Linked DNA regions of Caenorhabditis elegans. The protein of the gene in region 1 interacts with the protein of each later gene in a biochemical or structural test. Each region holds a gene or a part of one and is shown on either strand. Other genes may lie near its edges.

What was found.
Region 2: the proteins of plx-2 (region 1) and mab-20 interact in far-western blotting, tested with the Caenorhabditis elegans proteins (one study listed by BioGRID).

The regions. Positions count from the first base shown.
Region 1 is NC_003280.10:14,418,604-14,426,969, forward strand, and holds the start of plx-2 (Plexin-2), read right to left. Parts: upstream 6,289-8,366; 5' UTR 6,279-6,288; coding exon 6,129-6,278; intron 5,995-6,128; coding exon 5,867-5,994; intron 5,822-5,866; coding exon 5,345-5,821; intron 5,297-5,344; coding exon 5,038-5,296; intron 4,994-5,037; coding exon 4,829-4,993; intron 4,621-4,828; coding exon 4,486-4,620; intron 4,433-4,485; coding exon 4,298-4,432; intron 4,254-4,297; coding exon 3,596-4,253; intron 3,534-3,595; coding exon 3,379-3,533; intron 3,330-3,378; coding exon 1,413-3,329; intron 792-1,412; coding exon 635-791; intron 587-634; coding exon 416-586; intron 367-415; coding exon 1-366. UniProt on the Caenorhabditis elegans protein: Involved as a receptor for mab-20/sema-2a in the formation or stabilization of cell-cell contacts at several stages of epithelial morphogenesis. In early embryonic development, required for proper ventral closure of the epidermis.
Region 2 is NC_003279.8:1,645,449-1,653,533, forward strand, and holds the start of mab-20 (Semaphorin-2A), read right to left. Parts: upstream 6,010-8,085; 5' UTR 5,808-6,009; coding exon 5,735-5,807; intron 4,337-5,734; coding exon 3,914-4,336; exon of another isoform or gene 3,027-3,913; coding exon 2,655-3,026; intron 1,788-2,654; coding exon 1,669-1,787; intron 1,600-1,668; coding exon 1,510-1,599; intron 822-1,509; coding exon 77-821; intron 1-76. Other genes in the region: Y71G12B.18 (Methyltransferase FkbM domain-containing protein), read left to right, coding at 7,468-7,551, 7,989-8,085.

The DNA of each region.
Region 1 (8,366 bases):
GAACGTAGCCATTAGCCTTCCATTGCTGACAAATATTTTCAGAAACTCCGTTCACTGAAGCTTCACGATCCAAAATGTCAAAGAAGAATTTTAAAATTGGCGGGTAGCTTGAATCGTGCATGTATAGTACGGATTCTAGGAAGTCTTCCACATAAGTTTCTACTGTTCCCTTTGAAGTGAGCAACCTTGTTAGGTACACTTCTGGAATAGATTTGGGTAGCAAATTGCTGTCGTTTGAAGATTTCTTCTTGAAAGTCATAGTTCCAGATGACGGATTTGTTAGGTGATAGTATTTTGAAGATGAATAAATTGGAGAGCATCGATCTAACGATGACCAGGAAGATTGTCCAGAATCTGCGAGAGAATCTGAAATTTTAAGGGTTATATTCAAATTTTGTTTCTTCAATTAACTCACTTCTATAGCTTTCCGCTGTATAAACCGCTGGAGACATTTCCAGCGTACAGCCATCACTGATACCGTAATCTGCCAAAGTGAACAACTTTACTGGTAGCTTTTTCTGCGATAACGTCTCAATTGGCAAAACATCGGTCAGTTTCACATCTCCCCGTTTGGGACATTTATATTCTGAAAAAAAACTGATTGAAGACACATATGGGATTATTTATGACCCACTCAATTCGAACTGCGTTATTCTCGGTCGCTGTGAATATGGTGTTTCACGATAGACAGCTGAAGCAACTTTTTGTTTGACTTGACAAATTGCGTCGCATGCATGAACTTCAAGATCTATTGATTCATCGCATTTTTCAAATGGAATCACACGAATTTTCTGAAAATTAACCAAAAATAGCATATCAATTAGACTTGCTTTCCCTTTTCCTGTGGGATCAACTGTAAACGTTTCAAAACTGAAACAAAGGTATGTTGTTAAAATGAATTATATATTTTCTGATTAATCCAGGTTAAATAACTATGTAAATTTGTTACATCAATTCACAATTTTGTGGAATTTCTACCAAAATTCGTTTCTTCCGATAATAAAATTTAGTAGCCGTTCATAATAACCGTTGATTCTCTCGTAGTCTAGTAAACTTTGAAATAATAGGAAAATATTTTCTCACTATTTCATCTTATATACTACGTTGTTATTTTACTAACCCGGGTATACTCAAATTTACTAGAACTACTTGACTACAAACTACAAGTGCGACATTTGTATTCACTATATTTGGGTAATTATACTTGGAATAAATTATAAAAATGAGTTTTGAACTCGTAGTAAAAAACATCTAGTAAGATACAATAATAAGATACAAAGCGTAGTAAAAAAAATCACCGTAGTAAAAGATACATTGTAAAGTTAAAAATCATCTTTAACCTCTATGAGTTTAAACACTTGTGAAACTTTTTATAAAACCTTGAACATTTGAAAATTTGAAAAAAAGCTCACCAAAGTCTTTGTGTCCACACTCTCCCTTAACAATTTGGCCTCGTTAATCGTATATCTCGCATCACCGGTCACCGCGTCCACGGGTCCTTTGTCAGTTTGATATTGTAGCGCCTTATATAGATAGAAGTACGAGTTCATTTGCGGAGTCAAATGGGAGTACAAACAAATGCTCATCCACTTTGAGAACATTTTCTCCACCACCGAGTCACTATTCCGAAACAGTAACTCGGCGCGCTTATTTTGAACCGATCTTGCGATATGGGCACGTAGAAGGTCCACAACAACTTCAGTGCAATAAGAGAAGTTTCGAAGTAACACAGATATCAGGAGGCTTGCTAACATTGACTTCTCTGATGTTGATATGGAGACATCCGATTCTGCAGCTTCTACGATAGTGAAAATAAAGCCTTTGAAGCTCAGAAGTGCATGAAATTGAGCAAGAGTCACTGGGAGAGTCCTTGCCAAACTCGGCGCAGATGTAAGGTTGTTATCAGACCAGAGCAGGTTCTCCACAAAATGCGGGAAGTTGATGAGTTCCGGTCCAAGGTTCACAGAATTTGCAGACTTTGGAGATAGTACTAGGTTTGTTTGAAGTTCAGCGAATGCTTGCTTGCATTCTTTACGAACATTGTTTTCAAGATTTTCCATTTGAAGCTGAATCTTTCGGTATTCTTTCTCTCGTTCTTGACGCCTCCGCTTGAAAACCAAGCACATCACAGTCAACGTGACAACAATGAACAGAAGTAGCCCAAGAATCAAAAGTGATAGTCTGGACGGGAGTGCATGATCGGAATACTCAATCAACCCAAGCTCCATTCTAAGTGATCCAACTATTACAGTAACCAGCGGGTTATCCCCATTAATTGGAATTCCTCTTTCATCGGTAGCTTTTGGTTGCCTCACCGGTCCCGAGCACACCAATTGCCTAACATCTACAAGTGTCACGTAGCATCTCTCATTTCCAATGAAGATCTTGAAATCATTTGGCTCCGCAGCAAGATTTAGATTGTGTCCTTCAAGAATGAGTGATTGTTCTCCCTGATGATATCGTACTCCTTTGAACGGAGAAAGCGTCGGATTCGGATAGATGCCCATCTGAATTCGTCTTCCCAAATTTGCTACAGCTGTGACATTGTCCATGTGAAAACCCACAGGTTGCCGTGTATACTCAACTCTTCTAGTGATTGTTTCCAAAATTTTTGGAGTCATACAAGTCATTAATGTAGAGTTAATGATGTGACATGGAGCCAGATCAGATATTATATAAAACGGAGGTGTTGGAGATGATATGAGGAATAGCTTTGCTGTTTGAACAGTGTTCAATGAGTTGCCTTGAACATAAACAATTCTTCCGCCGGCTTTGAAAGAAGTCATCGGGAAGATTGAGCTAATAGACGGGTCCGATCGATATTCAAATGGTTGATCGAGTTGAGTCTGGGAGTGATCCACATGAACAACTACTCTAGCAGATTTTCCAATTCGAGTTCCAGAAGGTGTTAGACAAGTCAAAACTGTTGAAGAATTTACCCTTTCAATAGGACACGGCATGCCACCAACTGTCACAGAGGTTTGAGATCCACTTGATAAGTTCTGACCGTACAGAGTTATTCGAGTTCCGCCAGATATTGGGCCATACAGGGGGTAAGCGGAGAATATTGATGTTCTTACAAACGAATATAGTTCCGATGATTCTGCTACTGCAACTGTTGCCCGACCAACTGATATCCTGATTGGGCCCGAGCTGACACCTTTGTCGACTTGACATGCAATCATGTTAGAAACATGATACTCCACAATATTACATCTAGAACCGGCGACATAGATCTTTCCACGAACGTCTTCTACAGACATGCCCAGGTCATTCCCATAGATTTTGATGATTGTGCCTCCTTCGATGGGCCCACTTGTTGGTTCGAACTGAAACATTTTTAAATACAAGATATATACGTATTCATATCATTTTTACTTTATCGATTCTTGGTGGATCACACACAGCAGTGGCCTTTGACTCGTGGCACTCGTGGGAGCACTGTCGATTACACCATCCACATGATAGTGAAGGGGAAAGAGCAAGACAACTGGAACAGTCAGATGCCAGGTTGGTGCAAGAGTAAAGGGACACTGAAAAGCAGTTCAATTAAAGTATGTATTGTAAACTGAATTCACAAATCTCTGGTACTTACCATTAGCAATATCAATTACAGAGTCCCTTGTGATCAGGCTCAACGGAACCACCATGTTTGCACTCGTAGTGTTGCTCAAAGTCAACTGAATCTTGCCACAACGGATACTATCGCTTGCAATCTTTGCAAGAGACACTTGCTCGTTTACTTTACAAAAATGTTCGTGCCTTCGATCAAGAGTATCCAGGTTAGACGCCTCGAGCACGATTTCTTGTTGAGAACCGATAGCAATTGGGAGCCTCATTGGTTGAATTTTCACGCAGGCTTTTGATTTTTCCAATGCCCCACAGGAATTCGAACATTTGTGCAATCCAGAGCACCAGGCACAATTGTACTCAGAGCTCATACAGGACGAGCATGTACCGTAACCCGAGCAATCGTAAACTGTGAAGTTGTGACGGCTGATTGGATTATTGGAAATTGATGTTAGCAACAAAATTTCAAAAGTGTTTGGTGATGTAAAAATTTCCGATGGGCATGAAACTCCGGTCGTTGTCCAGTTAGCTTTGATAGATGATGTTGATGTTCCGAATTGGCATCTATAAGTGAAACCGACTGGAGGTGGAAGATGGTGAATGTTGAAGGATATAGGGGTAGAGGAGTTCACGGAGACTATTGAAGGAATCGGATCACCATCGACAATTGGACACTGAGAAGTCTGAAACGTGTATGCCAAAATAGAACAAAGATAAACTTGCTTACAACTGGACTAGTACACCTTGCTGAAGTCGTACACGATTGCGTCGGATGACACCATTGGCAGAGTGGGTCTACAGAGACTAAGCATTCTGTGCATGAGCTGTGATGAGAGCAAGTGGAAAGCTCTTCTAATATGATCTAAAAAACCAAAATTTGTTCTACATGAAACCCTTTTTTCAAAATAAACTTACTCCATATGGCATCTGCACAATGACAAAATCCCCAAATTTGACCATTTTGCTGACCTCGCTCCCAGTTCGCCCATCTCCAACTTCCTTTCTACCGTACTCTTCCAACTGGTTTGAATGGTGCTCGTCCCATTTAAACTAAAATTGTTTGTAATAGTTTTTTTAAAGATCAGTCCTATGATTTCAAGAAATAATCCCTTTGTGATATGCATTTGATTGACATTTGTTTTCATATACATTTTTGAAGATTAAAGTGTCATTCGAAATGCTGTTTAGGGTCAGCGACAATGATGGATCACAAGCAGTTAGTCGTGTGAATCTAGCTAGCTTTTTTAGTAAAATTTACCATCACAATCTGCGAAGTTGTTGTTCCCGCGAAAATTGCTTTTTGATCTACAGCCATCAATGACGTCACCTTTCCCATAATGTCTTTTGTGGACATCTCAACAAGTTCAATTGATCCACCAACACCGAGCTCACAGCTATCTTCGTCGAGGGGTATGTGGGCTTTCTGAAAAGCGAAATAATTTCTTCATTGAAAAACCTAAAACTTGCATTAACACATTTTGTATCTCTCCCGATATGAGGTAGTCTAATCGAATCAGTACCACTTCTACACCTATCCACATTGTACCAAAAAGTCAGCTTCACTTTTTGCATCGAAAATACACAAATGGAACTTTTTGGAGATGTGGATGATGTTGAGAACGATGCGATCAGCTTGTCGTAGGATTGAATGATTGCGTTCAGAAATGGATAGTTGGTATTGTCCTCTCCGCGGCATTGAAGTTCGATTTCAGAGTAGGATTCAAATCTGAAAATAGGGATATAACTTTTGCTAATTTTTGGCCTAAACACCTACTTTGTGTCATTTCGGCAGAATCGTATCAACCTGGTTGTCATAGGTAATCTTGACTCTCTTGGTGTGACCATGGCGACCACAAACACAAAATGTTGATGCGTAAAGGTGTACAAAAACTTGAATGCATTCTTGTAAGCTGCTCTCAGGAAAACTGCAGCTTCTCCTTCCAGATCACCGGCATTCTCAACATTCAGACCGGGCAAGTTTCGAATTGCAACCGCTGGAAACGGGTCTCGATACGGAGATTCTTTCGTTGCACTTGCCGCAACAATTAAACGATTATCGATGATTTTCGATACTGTGGACGCGTCTGGAGAATTCGCGGCAACTGCGATAGTGGATTCAGTGATGAGAGATAACTTCGAATTGAACGTGGAGCATGACCCGAGCTTTACAGAACCACACTGAAGAATTTGATTTGTGGGAAGGATTTGTAGGATTTTTGTGCGAACATCTGTTGGGAAGGGGCGATTGTCTCTGAAAATAATAATTTGGATAAAGACGTGATGTTGATTAACTAGCTTTAAGCAAGATTTTCCATCTGCAGAGCACCAAGGAGAATCTTGAACCGGACCGAGTGAAACCTCATGTTGTATTGAAAAATTAGAAATTGATAAAGATGTTAGTCGGTTGAGAGATGCCACGTAGATCTGAAAGATTAAAATTACTCAGGTACCAACTATAGGCTTCTGCTTAGGCTTATTAGGCAGGCAGAAATGAGGGCGTGCCTAGCTTTCAAAAATGATAGTTTTCTCAAAATTCTCGAAATTGTGAGATGTCCTACCGTTTGTTGGTCCCTCGAGACAATAAAGTCGTCAATGTGTCCAGAAAAATGAAATAATTTTTGTTTCACGCCTTCTGTTTCAAAGGGCGGCTGGGTTACCGCCCGCAGAAAATGGCTGATTAGGAGAAGAAACACCGATTCGGGGAGCATAATCGCATTTCTGAAAATAAGAAGATTTATGATCATTTCAGAAAAAAAGTAATAGAGAAATTTAAAAGAAGTTTAGCCAATTCAGAAATTTGAAAATAAAGGTACTAATATGCCTGCATGTTTGACTAAAAGGCGATTAACTCCTAACTTCTACCAACTCATCGAAGTAATAAAACGTGACACCAAAAAAGAATTTACTAACCTCAATAGTATTTTGATTAAAAATTTTCATGAAAAACCAAAAATGCAAAAACTAGGTTAATTCATTCCAAAAAAAAATGTAATAAATTTTTCCAACATAAGGAAATACCTGTGTCCAATGTCTCCCCATTCTTCAATAACCACATAACCTATAAATCACTTGAAACGTGAACGAATTCAATGTTTAATTGTAATGCAATACAATACTTGACTGACCATTTCCATCATGATCAATCAAACGAAAAAAAGTGAACCGATGGTCGTCGATGAAGCGAATCGGTTAGACATTTTTTGTGCAGACATTTACAAAATGGTCATTTGTTTGTTACGTTTTGAAGAAGTACATTTGGATTAGTAAATACAATTTATAAATTTCTCATTTTATAGATTGTTTGAACCAAATTCAGAATTAACTAGTAGTGACCAAAATTTTTGTAGTTCTAGTTGTATAAGGCATAGATCACCTTGTAGGCAGGCAGGCAGTTATATTTTTTGAATAGAAGCCGTAGCCTTTTGGAGGTCCGTAGAGAAACATGTAATATTTTAAAAAGAAACGGAAACGTAAAATGAGGGGAAATGAGTAAAAATGACATAAATGTAATCCCCAAATGAGTTTTCGGTCCTATAGGGTCCAAACCAAAAATGGAACATGAAACTGAGAAGCAAAAGAAGATATGAAAAAGAGCACAAGCAAAAAAGAGCAAAAAATGGGATGGACAATGAAAATAGATGGACGGACAAGGGGAAATGTGTCAGGAGGATCCGGAGGGACTGGGTAAGCCGGGTTGGGGGAAAATGAAATAGAAATATGTATGTACATACGAAAAAATCTGAAACTAGATAAATATTCATTAATGATCACTAACTCGGCAGACAGATGTTCAGTTTGTATTTGCGAAAAGTCGGGTAGAGAGCAACCCGCGAATTATGTCAAAGAAAATGATTAATGAGTTTGATTCTAATCGATCACATGGTGAGGACTCCGGAACAGAGTGTGTAAAGTTTATAGTATTGATTATTGAAATAGTGATGGTTATTTGTGGGGCAGTGGGATTTCATTTAAAAAAAAACTCCTTTAGTGCTAATATTTCAGAACGCCTTTACACAACATTTGGCAGTTTTGGGCCATATGGGTCTAGACTAAAATTTCACAAAAATTCAAATAATTGAAATAATTTGGATTATATCTTGAAAAACTGCCGACTGGTACAAAAATAAAAATGCATGCACATTAGGATCATTAGTAGGTGTTCTATATAGACTAAGGAAGCGTATATATATACAGCTAAGCCAAGACAAGGCACAAGCTTATGAGTTAATGAGTTAATGAGCTGCGTGGCAGGTGATGACGGCGGAGCGCAAGAGACAACGGAAGACGGTGTCAAAAACAAACAGAGCGTGTTCTAGGGGTTAAGTAGGTTGTGAACCTATTAACATGAGAGTTTCAAGAAGAACTAAGAACACATGTACATAGGAAGGTTTTGCTCAATTGCCGGAGTTCCCTTATAAACATCGTGTCTGGAACCTAGTAGCGTTGTTTAAATTTTTTAAAAATTAGTTTTGTCTTTCGGTAACTTTCGATTCTTTGTAATTTTTCTACCAGCCGCACAGCCTTATTGCAAACTGAGTAACTGCTATTTTCTGACTGTAACTTTTCAAAAAACTTTATTTCTGCATAGTGAAATTGGCAGATTCAGCACTATTTTTGTAATCAAACCAGATTTTGCCTTACAAGTTTGCTTTGTTAGGACATTACAATTCTAATTCGATGAGATTGAAAAATTATTGTTGCCAGCTATCTCGTACCTATAAAGTATAAAGTTTTTATGATTAGATTAACACTTTCTATTGGGCAATCAAGTGGTGTAATACTTTCATGAATGTATA
Region 2 (8,085 bases), on another chromosome or scaffold:
CAATTAATTTCATGGCCGCAAAAAAGTACAGTTTTTCGTGATTTTTTCAGTTGAATTTTTTGTTAAAACTCATTACCATGAACAACAATTCTTGCTCTAACAAGAATAATATTATCTCTCAAACATTCATAGGTTCCAGCATCCTCCAACTGCGCATCCAACACCACCAATTCCCCATTCCGAGTCACCACGTGCCGTTGCCCACTCTCAACACTCCGCCCATCCTTCTGCCACACCCCATTCTTGGCTCCAACCAAACGGAGCCCGTCGCCCAAGTAGACATCCTTAACGGTAAGCTTCTCGACAGCGGAGCACTCTGGTGATATTCTTCCAGCCCATGAGCTCGAAATCCAGCCGACTGATTTCTCATTTGTCTTTGTTTTCAGCGAGCATTTCGAGTTGACCGCATTCCAGCTGCAGTAGGGATCAAGGGAGCAGAGAGCACAGGATGGTTGCTCCGAGCATCGAGCAACTGAGAATTGGGAGACACCGGCTCCAGACGTGACAAAGAAGAATTCGGCAGGCAAAAGTGCCACGTCATTAATCCGGGAGGCCGCAATTTTTAGCGATTTTTCTTCGATTAAATTCGATTTCCACTCGTTTCCTTCTTTCCAATGCGAAATTTTCCAAACTCGTCGATTTGCACTATCAAATGCAAAAATCACATTCTGGTTGGGAAGTTGATCTACGACAATATGCGTGAAAACGTGGTCACGGAGTGGCAGAATCGGGGTTCCGCCGGATATGGAATCGGAAACCAGGAGATGCGTTTTTGCAAAGTGAAGATCCGTATCCGAAATGCTGTGCGAGTTTTGTGAGCACTGAAAGAGAGAAAATCGATGATTAAGTGGTTAACGCGTCAGAAATGGGCGGGGCTTATATTACACAATTTTTATATCTAAAAATGAATTTCACCAACGGAAAATAGGTATTTTTCAATCAAAATTGATTTTAACATCCTGAAAAATCGATTAAAAGGGGTTTTATGTCAGAAATGGGTGGGGCTTCCAAGATGTTCCTTTAAAAAATCATTAAATAAGCTCCGCCCCCTGGTATCAATATTTTCGGACCAACGCATGTTTTCCTTGTTAATATGCTCGGCCACGTGGAGTCAGAAAGTCCCATTTCGCTTTGATCTACAAAAAATGCGGGAGAAGAGACGCAGAGTTCTCAGCTGATTTCGAATGGAGGAGCGTGTTGACGTCACAATTTTTCTGGGAAAAATTCCCGCATTTTTTGTAGATAAAGCTATATTGGGACAGCCTGACACCACGTGCTCCGCATCAAAATTGTTTGAAAAAAATTGCAAAAAATTAAAGAAATTTTTTTTTGAAATAAGCCCCGCCGAGTTAAAACCGATTTTTAGAAGACACCGAGCGTAGGCGGGCTTTCAAATTTTTCAAAAATTCTAAAACTACGGCTCCGCCCACTTCTGACGCAAAATTTCATTTTTGAACTAGATTTTTTTTTGTAAAATTTATTTTGCAATAGAGCACATTTTCCACCTACCGTTCCCGGGCGATGAGCCGGAATCTCGTCGGCGGTCACCGAAAACTGCCCGTTCGCAGTCTCTTCCATTAGGAGGCCGGTGTCGAGGAGCTGAAAACACAAAGTTCAATAGGTGGCCGAGTTAATTTGATTTGTTTGGCGGCCACGGCCACCACTTACATGATTGATTGAAGAGAGTTGGAACATGCATATCGCAGAAGAAGTAAATGCGGTTTCCGATGTGGAAAACGTGGCGTAGAAGTAGGTTTCTCCGTGTTTGTCGACGCGTTTTACGGATTCTGAAAAAAAAAATAGACAGTGTAGATGCGCTCTATTGAGACGGTCTTAAATTTGAGAACTTCATGATTTTTTTTCCTTAAATTTATCGGCTCGACCATACCTGGGGTAGATTTACGGCGCGTGGCGTGTCGCGTAGCGGCTCGATTTTAGTTGTAAAACTAAATGCATTTGCCCGTGTGGAGTACACGACTTTCCCACGCGTTGTCCGGCGGGCGATCGCCAATGGAGCGCGAAAAATTCAATGAGAAAGACCATAACCCCGTGCGACCACGATGCTACACTCGGTCGCCATATTTTTCAATACTGGTGTCAGAATGTCCCATTTTGTTGTGATCTACAAAAAATGCGGGAATTTAAACGCAGACTTCTCAACTGATTTCGCATGTTTAAGAACGTGCTGACGTCACAGTTTTTTTGGAAAAATATTACCGCATTTTTTGTAGATCAAACCGTTATGGGACAACCTGACACCACGTGAATACTGCGAAAACTGGCGAACATTTGTTTTAAAATCACGAGGCTCTGGCCTTGCTCATTGAATTTTTCGCGCTCTCGCCTGCCGGACAACTCGTGAGAAAGTCGTGTACTCCACACGGACAAATACATTTAGTTTTACAACTGAAATCGAGCCGCGACGCGGCACGCAACGCACCGTAAATCTACCCCAGATATGGCCGAGCCAAAATGGCCTACTTTGGCAAACTCTTCCATTTCAATTTATGAGGGTAGCCAGAAATCCGTGAAAAATTAGTATAATATCACGAATTGAAGGGTTTCAAGACTTCAAACAGAAAATGAATAAAATTGATTTTTTTTCAATTTCTCTTTTTCTCGGCCACGATGCTCCACTCGGTGGCCTAACTTACGAATATGATCGAAATAAAACGGGAAATTTGCAGAAACCGAACAATTAAGTCGAGCCTTGACAAATGACGTCCAAACTTGTCGCAATACATTTCTCCCGCCAATATCCTTTTTACAAACTCTTGCCACACGACTATGAACGATTCGCTCGCCGAACGAGTTATCATGTGCAATTTCACGGAAAAAGAAGAACACATGCTGTCCGACATCAAATGAGCCGACGAATTGCGGCTCATTGAGCCATTTGTTGTCCGAATAGATTGTTCGAATACTGGCGTGCAGTTGTTTGCCGTTTTTGGTGAGCGGTGGACGGTAGATCAGATGATTCTCACCGCCCATTCCTGTACGGATTCCAGAGTATACGGATGTGGCATCTGCAAATGAAAACTGCAACAATTTGGCAAACATTATTGCAAAAATTACTTTTGGAATTTGCACTTTATTTTTTGGAAAATGTTTTGATGCAAAATTTATGAGAATAAAATAAAAAATTTTTTGCAAAATTTTTTTCAAATATCGATAATTCTAAATCACAGTAAAAAGTGTAATTTAGAATTATCATTCACAAAGTTTGCAGAAAATAGATAATGTATCCAAATTCTAGACTAAAACAAATATTTTTTTCACAATTTCACGTGGTGTCAGAATGTCTTACTTTGATTTGATCTTCGAAAAATGCGGGAGTTGAGACGCAGAGTACTCAACTGATTTTGCATGGTTAAGAACGTGCTGACGTCACAGTTTTTATGGAAAAATATTACCGCATTTTTTGTAGATCAAACTGAAATGAAGCAGCCTGACACCACGTGGGGATTGGTGATAAAATCTACTATCAAAACTTATTAATCGATCCTTGAATTTTGCAAAATTTTTTCTGTCGCACACAAAGTGGGGCGGAGCGTAACTTCGCAACACTGCCGCACGGGGTTTGCCTCAAAAGTTTTTTGTTTCGAAAAAAGAGAAAAATAATAGTCAAATCGAAACATTATTGAAAAAATCAACAAGAAAAGCAGTGGAGAAGGGGCGGAGGCAAACCCGTGCGGCAGTGTTGCGAAAGCTACGCTCCGCCCCACTTTCTGTGCAACAAAAATTTTTGCAAAATTCAAGGATGTTTTTTGATAGTTTTTGTAAAATAATTGGGTATTTTTGGTCATTTTTTTAAGCAAACTCATTCAAAACTAGAAAAGTTTCAAAACAATTTTGAAAAATTGCAGCCAAATTATCAATGAATTTCATTTATCAATAGAGCGCACTTGCTTACCCTCCGGATTCCCACTATCAACCACAACCGCCGTAAAATTAAACGTCGGATCCACAACACAAATCCCAATCTCGGTCCGCGGCTCCTGTTGGTCTCGCAACGAAAGTGAGTCGAGCACACGAATCTCCGGCCTCATGCCAACCGACGAGCAAACATAAATCGAGTCGAGGTTATTCGTAAACGCCAAAAATCGAGTCGACGGGCGGCACAATCGCTCGTCACTGGCCGTCGAACGACACTCGGATTCTTCGGACTCGCTGAGCACCAGTTGTTTTTTGGCGAACACATTCTCCCCCGTATCGTTGATATTATAAGCCCAAAGACGGAAAATGGCTCCCTCGGAGCCCACAAAAAGAGCACCGGCTTTTGGGTCGATTAGTAGTTCACGGAATTCTCCAATGTTCGGGTCGGCAAATGTGTTGTCTGCAAAAATTAAGAATTTAGGTAAATACATATATATTGGATTGATGACACTAATACCTAGGTAAACAAAAAAAATTATCTTTAGAGCATATTTGCATACACAATTTTATACAATTTGTAATGAATGGGACCTTATCATCTCGAAAAGCATAATTTTTTCGCTCAGTTTTTGACTTATGATCCTTGATTTGTTGAACCCACGAAAATTTGAATTTTTGGAAAGAAAATTTTTTTTAACACCCAAATCTCGGGGTTCTGGCCTTCCTCATTGCATTTATCGCGCTCCATTGACAATCTACCGACGGACAAATACATTTATTTTTACAACTAAAGGCGAGCCGCGACGCGACACGCAACGCGCCGTAAATCTACCCCAAATATGGACGAGCCAAAATGGCCTAGTTCGGCAAAAACTCTTCCATTTCAATTAATGAGGGATCACCACCAGGCAGGTACCTGAATCCCAGATCCGCAGTGCATAGCACTTGAAAAACGTGATCGTCCTTTAATCCTTTTTTTAAATCTAGAAATCCGTGCAAATGCGAAATTTTGCAAAGCGCTCGGGTCAAAAAATACGGTCGTCCCGGTCTAGATTTTTGTTAGATGAAAAAATGTGTGCGCCTTTGAAGATTACTGTACTTGCAAAACTTTTGTTGTTGCGAAGTTTGATCTTTGAAAAAGATGCATTTTTCACCGGAAACAATAGCAAATTGAAATAAAAACTGTGAAAAATCTATAAAAATTTCCATGAAAATATGCTATTAAACTCAATATGTAACGGATGGAAATTCAGAAAATTTTTTTAAAAATTTGTTTTTTTTTCATAGTTTTCATACTAAAAACGTTCAAATACACAAAAAAAATTCACAAAACTTCACTGAAAATTGCCAAAAAACCCTTAAAAATCTTGGGTCTCGTCACGAAAAACCATACAAATTTACGGTCGAAATAATTTTATCAATTTTTTCAAGCAACTTTATGAAGTTGCTTTAAAAAATAGATTAACTTATGTTATAACAATAAATGCAAGCGCAAAAATGCCGAATTAGAGGAGAGACTTAAAACCAAAAAAAAAAAAATTTATTTTTGGTCTCGAAGCGATAAATTGTTGTAAAATGCAAAATGGTGTGCGTCTTTGAAGATGACTGTAATATCGAGACGTTTAATTTTATTGATTTTTTAAAAAATAGTTTTTCTTTTAGTTTTTCAATAGCAAATCCTAGCTGAAAACTACATTACTCTTTAAAGACGCATGCCCTTTTGCATTTTACAAAAATTGTCGTTTCGGGTCCAAGCTTGGGCAAATTCATTCAATTCGTGGAAATTTGGCTAAAATCTATAATTTCTTGGATTTAACCTCAAATTTTTATATAGGTAATCAATTTGAAAAATACTCACCTGCTTGAATATTCGCTGCTTCACAGCTGTTGTACGCAATAAAAATTACGCTAAATACCAGAAAATTCCTCATTTTCAAAGATTTTTATTTCAGAGTTAAACTCTTTAACTTGAAATTAATAAGGATAGAAAATCAATAAATATTATATAGAATTTGCATGAAACCGTTGTGGTGTCAGGGTGTGTGTGTGTGTGTGCAGGATGGGGGAGAAGACGAAGGCCACCCCAAAGAGAGAGAGAGGGAGAGACGCAGACACAAAGGAGGGGTCCCTGTTACTGGCAGCTGTGCCTCTTTAGTCCTAAAGAATGAGAGAGTAGACGGAGAAGACATCGTAATTGTATTTGTTGGGTCGTTTCGTCTTTTGTGTGTGTGTGTGTGTGTGTGTGTGTTGACGTCCACAATGTTCGGTGGATTACAGGAGAAGGAGAGCCACTTGAAGAACGCTAATTAACATGTATCAAAACCAGAATTCCATATGTTGAATTAGAAATGATTAATATTTTTTCAATAAGGAATATTATTACCGAACATCTAAAAATTGTAAAACTAAAATTTAAAAAATTCTCAAAATTTTCCAAAAAACTCTACACATAAATACATCAAAAACTGCAAATAAAACGCTTAAAACTTTGCAGTGACGGTCCGTACCTGGTTAGGGAAAAAGTGTCGGAGTACTGTAAGGGTACTGTAGTGGCAGTTCTGTAATATAGTACTGTACTCTACTGAAGAACAAGGGTGCGCGGCAATTGCCTACCAGCAATCGATTTTCGGCAATTTCGGCAATTATCGAATTTTTTGAAACCGGCAACTGCCGTAATTGCCGATTGCCGGAAATCAGAATTGTCGGAAATATAAATTTGATACTTTTTTGTAGATTTAGGAGCCTAAACATGCATTTTGATGAAAAATGTTTTATTTTCAAGCTCAACATAATTTGATCCTTTAAGGATTGAACGTTTTCTTTCAGAAAATGACTAAATGAATACTAAGAGACAAGGTGAAATTTTTTCAATTTCCACAATATGACTAGGTTTCAAAATTGCCGAAAATGCCCGGCAATCGCAAATTCCGGCAATCTTGGCAATTCCGGCAATTGCCGAAAATTTTAAAAACCGGTTAAAAATTCTCCTGGTAAATTTAAAAATTCTCCTGGTAAATTTAAAAATTCTCCTGGTAAATTTAAAAATTCTCCTGGTAAATTTAAAAATTCTCCTGGTAAATTTAAAAAGTCTCCTGGTAAATTTAAAAATTCTCCTGGTAAATTTAAAAATTCTCCTGGTAAATTAAAAAATTCTCCTGGTAAATTTTAAAATTCTCCTGGTAAATTTAAAAATTCTCCTGGTAAATTTTAAAATTCTCCTGGTAAATTTAAAAATTCTCCTGGTAAATTTAAAAATTCTCCTGGTAAATTTAAAAATTCTCCTGGTAAATTTAAAAATTCTCCTGGTAAATTTTAAAATTCTCCTGGTAAATTTAAAAATTCTCCTGATAAATTTACAAATTCCTCCAAAAAAAACTAGAATTTTCCCGAAACATTTGTCGCCGACCAAAAGCAATTTTGAGAACAAAACGTTTCTTTTTGTCGTCCACTAATCTTGTCGAACCATCGAAATTCGGCATGGAAAACTGGACAAAATCGCGATTAAATCTGAAAAAGTATTCTACGAAACAATCCGGAACGGCACCAATAAAAGGGCAGGTGGAATCAAAATATTCCGATATTTTTTTCGAAATGAAATCTCGTGCCAGTAGACCGATTAATTTGCTTCTAATTATTTTTCTCATTTTTCTTGGCATTGTTCTTTTATACGGACAGGTATGCAAATCTGGCCTAGAAATATTGACGGCCGCGGCCACTAAAAAAATTCCATAACCTGAATAAAAAAAAACATTACCTAAAGTTCAGCACATGCATCGCACAAATTTTTTAGCCCACAAATTCTGAGCTTCGTTTATTCGATGCTAACGAAAATTGAAAACTCTTCAGATAGCCTGTAAGGAATATAGGCTGTCATAGGCCTAGACCTAAGCTTAAGCCTAAGCATATGCCTAAGCCTAAGCCTAAACCTAAGCCTAAACCTGAGCCTGAACCATAGCCTAAACCTGAAACTGAACCATAGCCTAAGCAATAGCCTAAGCCTGAGCTTAAACCTGAGCCTGAACCATAGCCTAAGAAATAGCCTAAACCTATACCTAATCCGAATCTTGAGCTATACTAGAAATGAGAGTTATATTAAAAATTTAAATTTCCAGACAACATCCACCGACTCAGATGAACTAACCGAGCTGCGTCCCAATGTTCCATTATTCAACAGTTGGAATAAGTGTATGACACACAAAGTGTTTAATG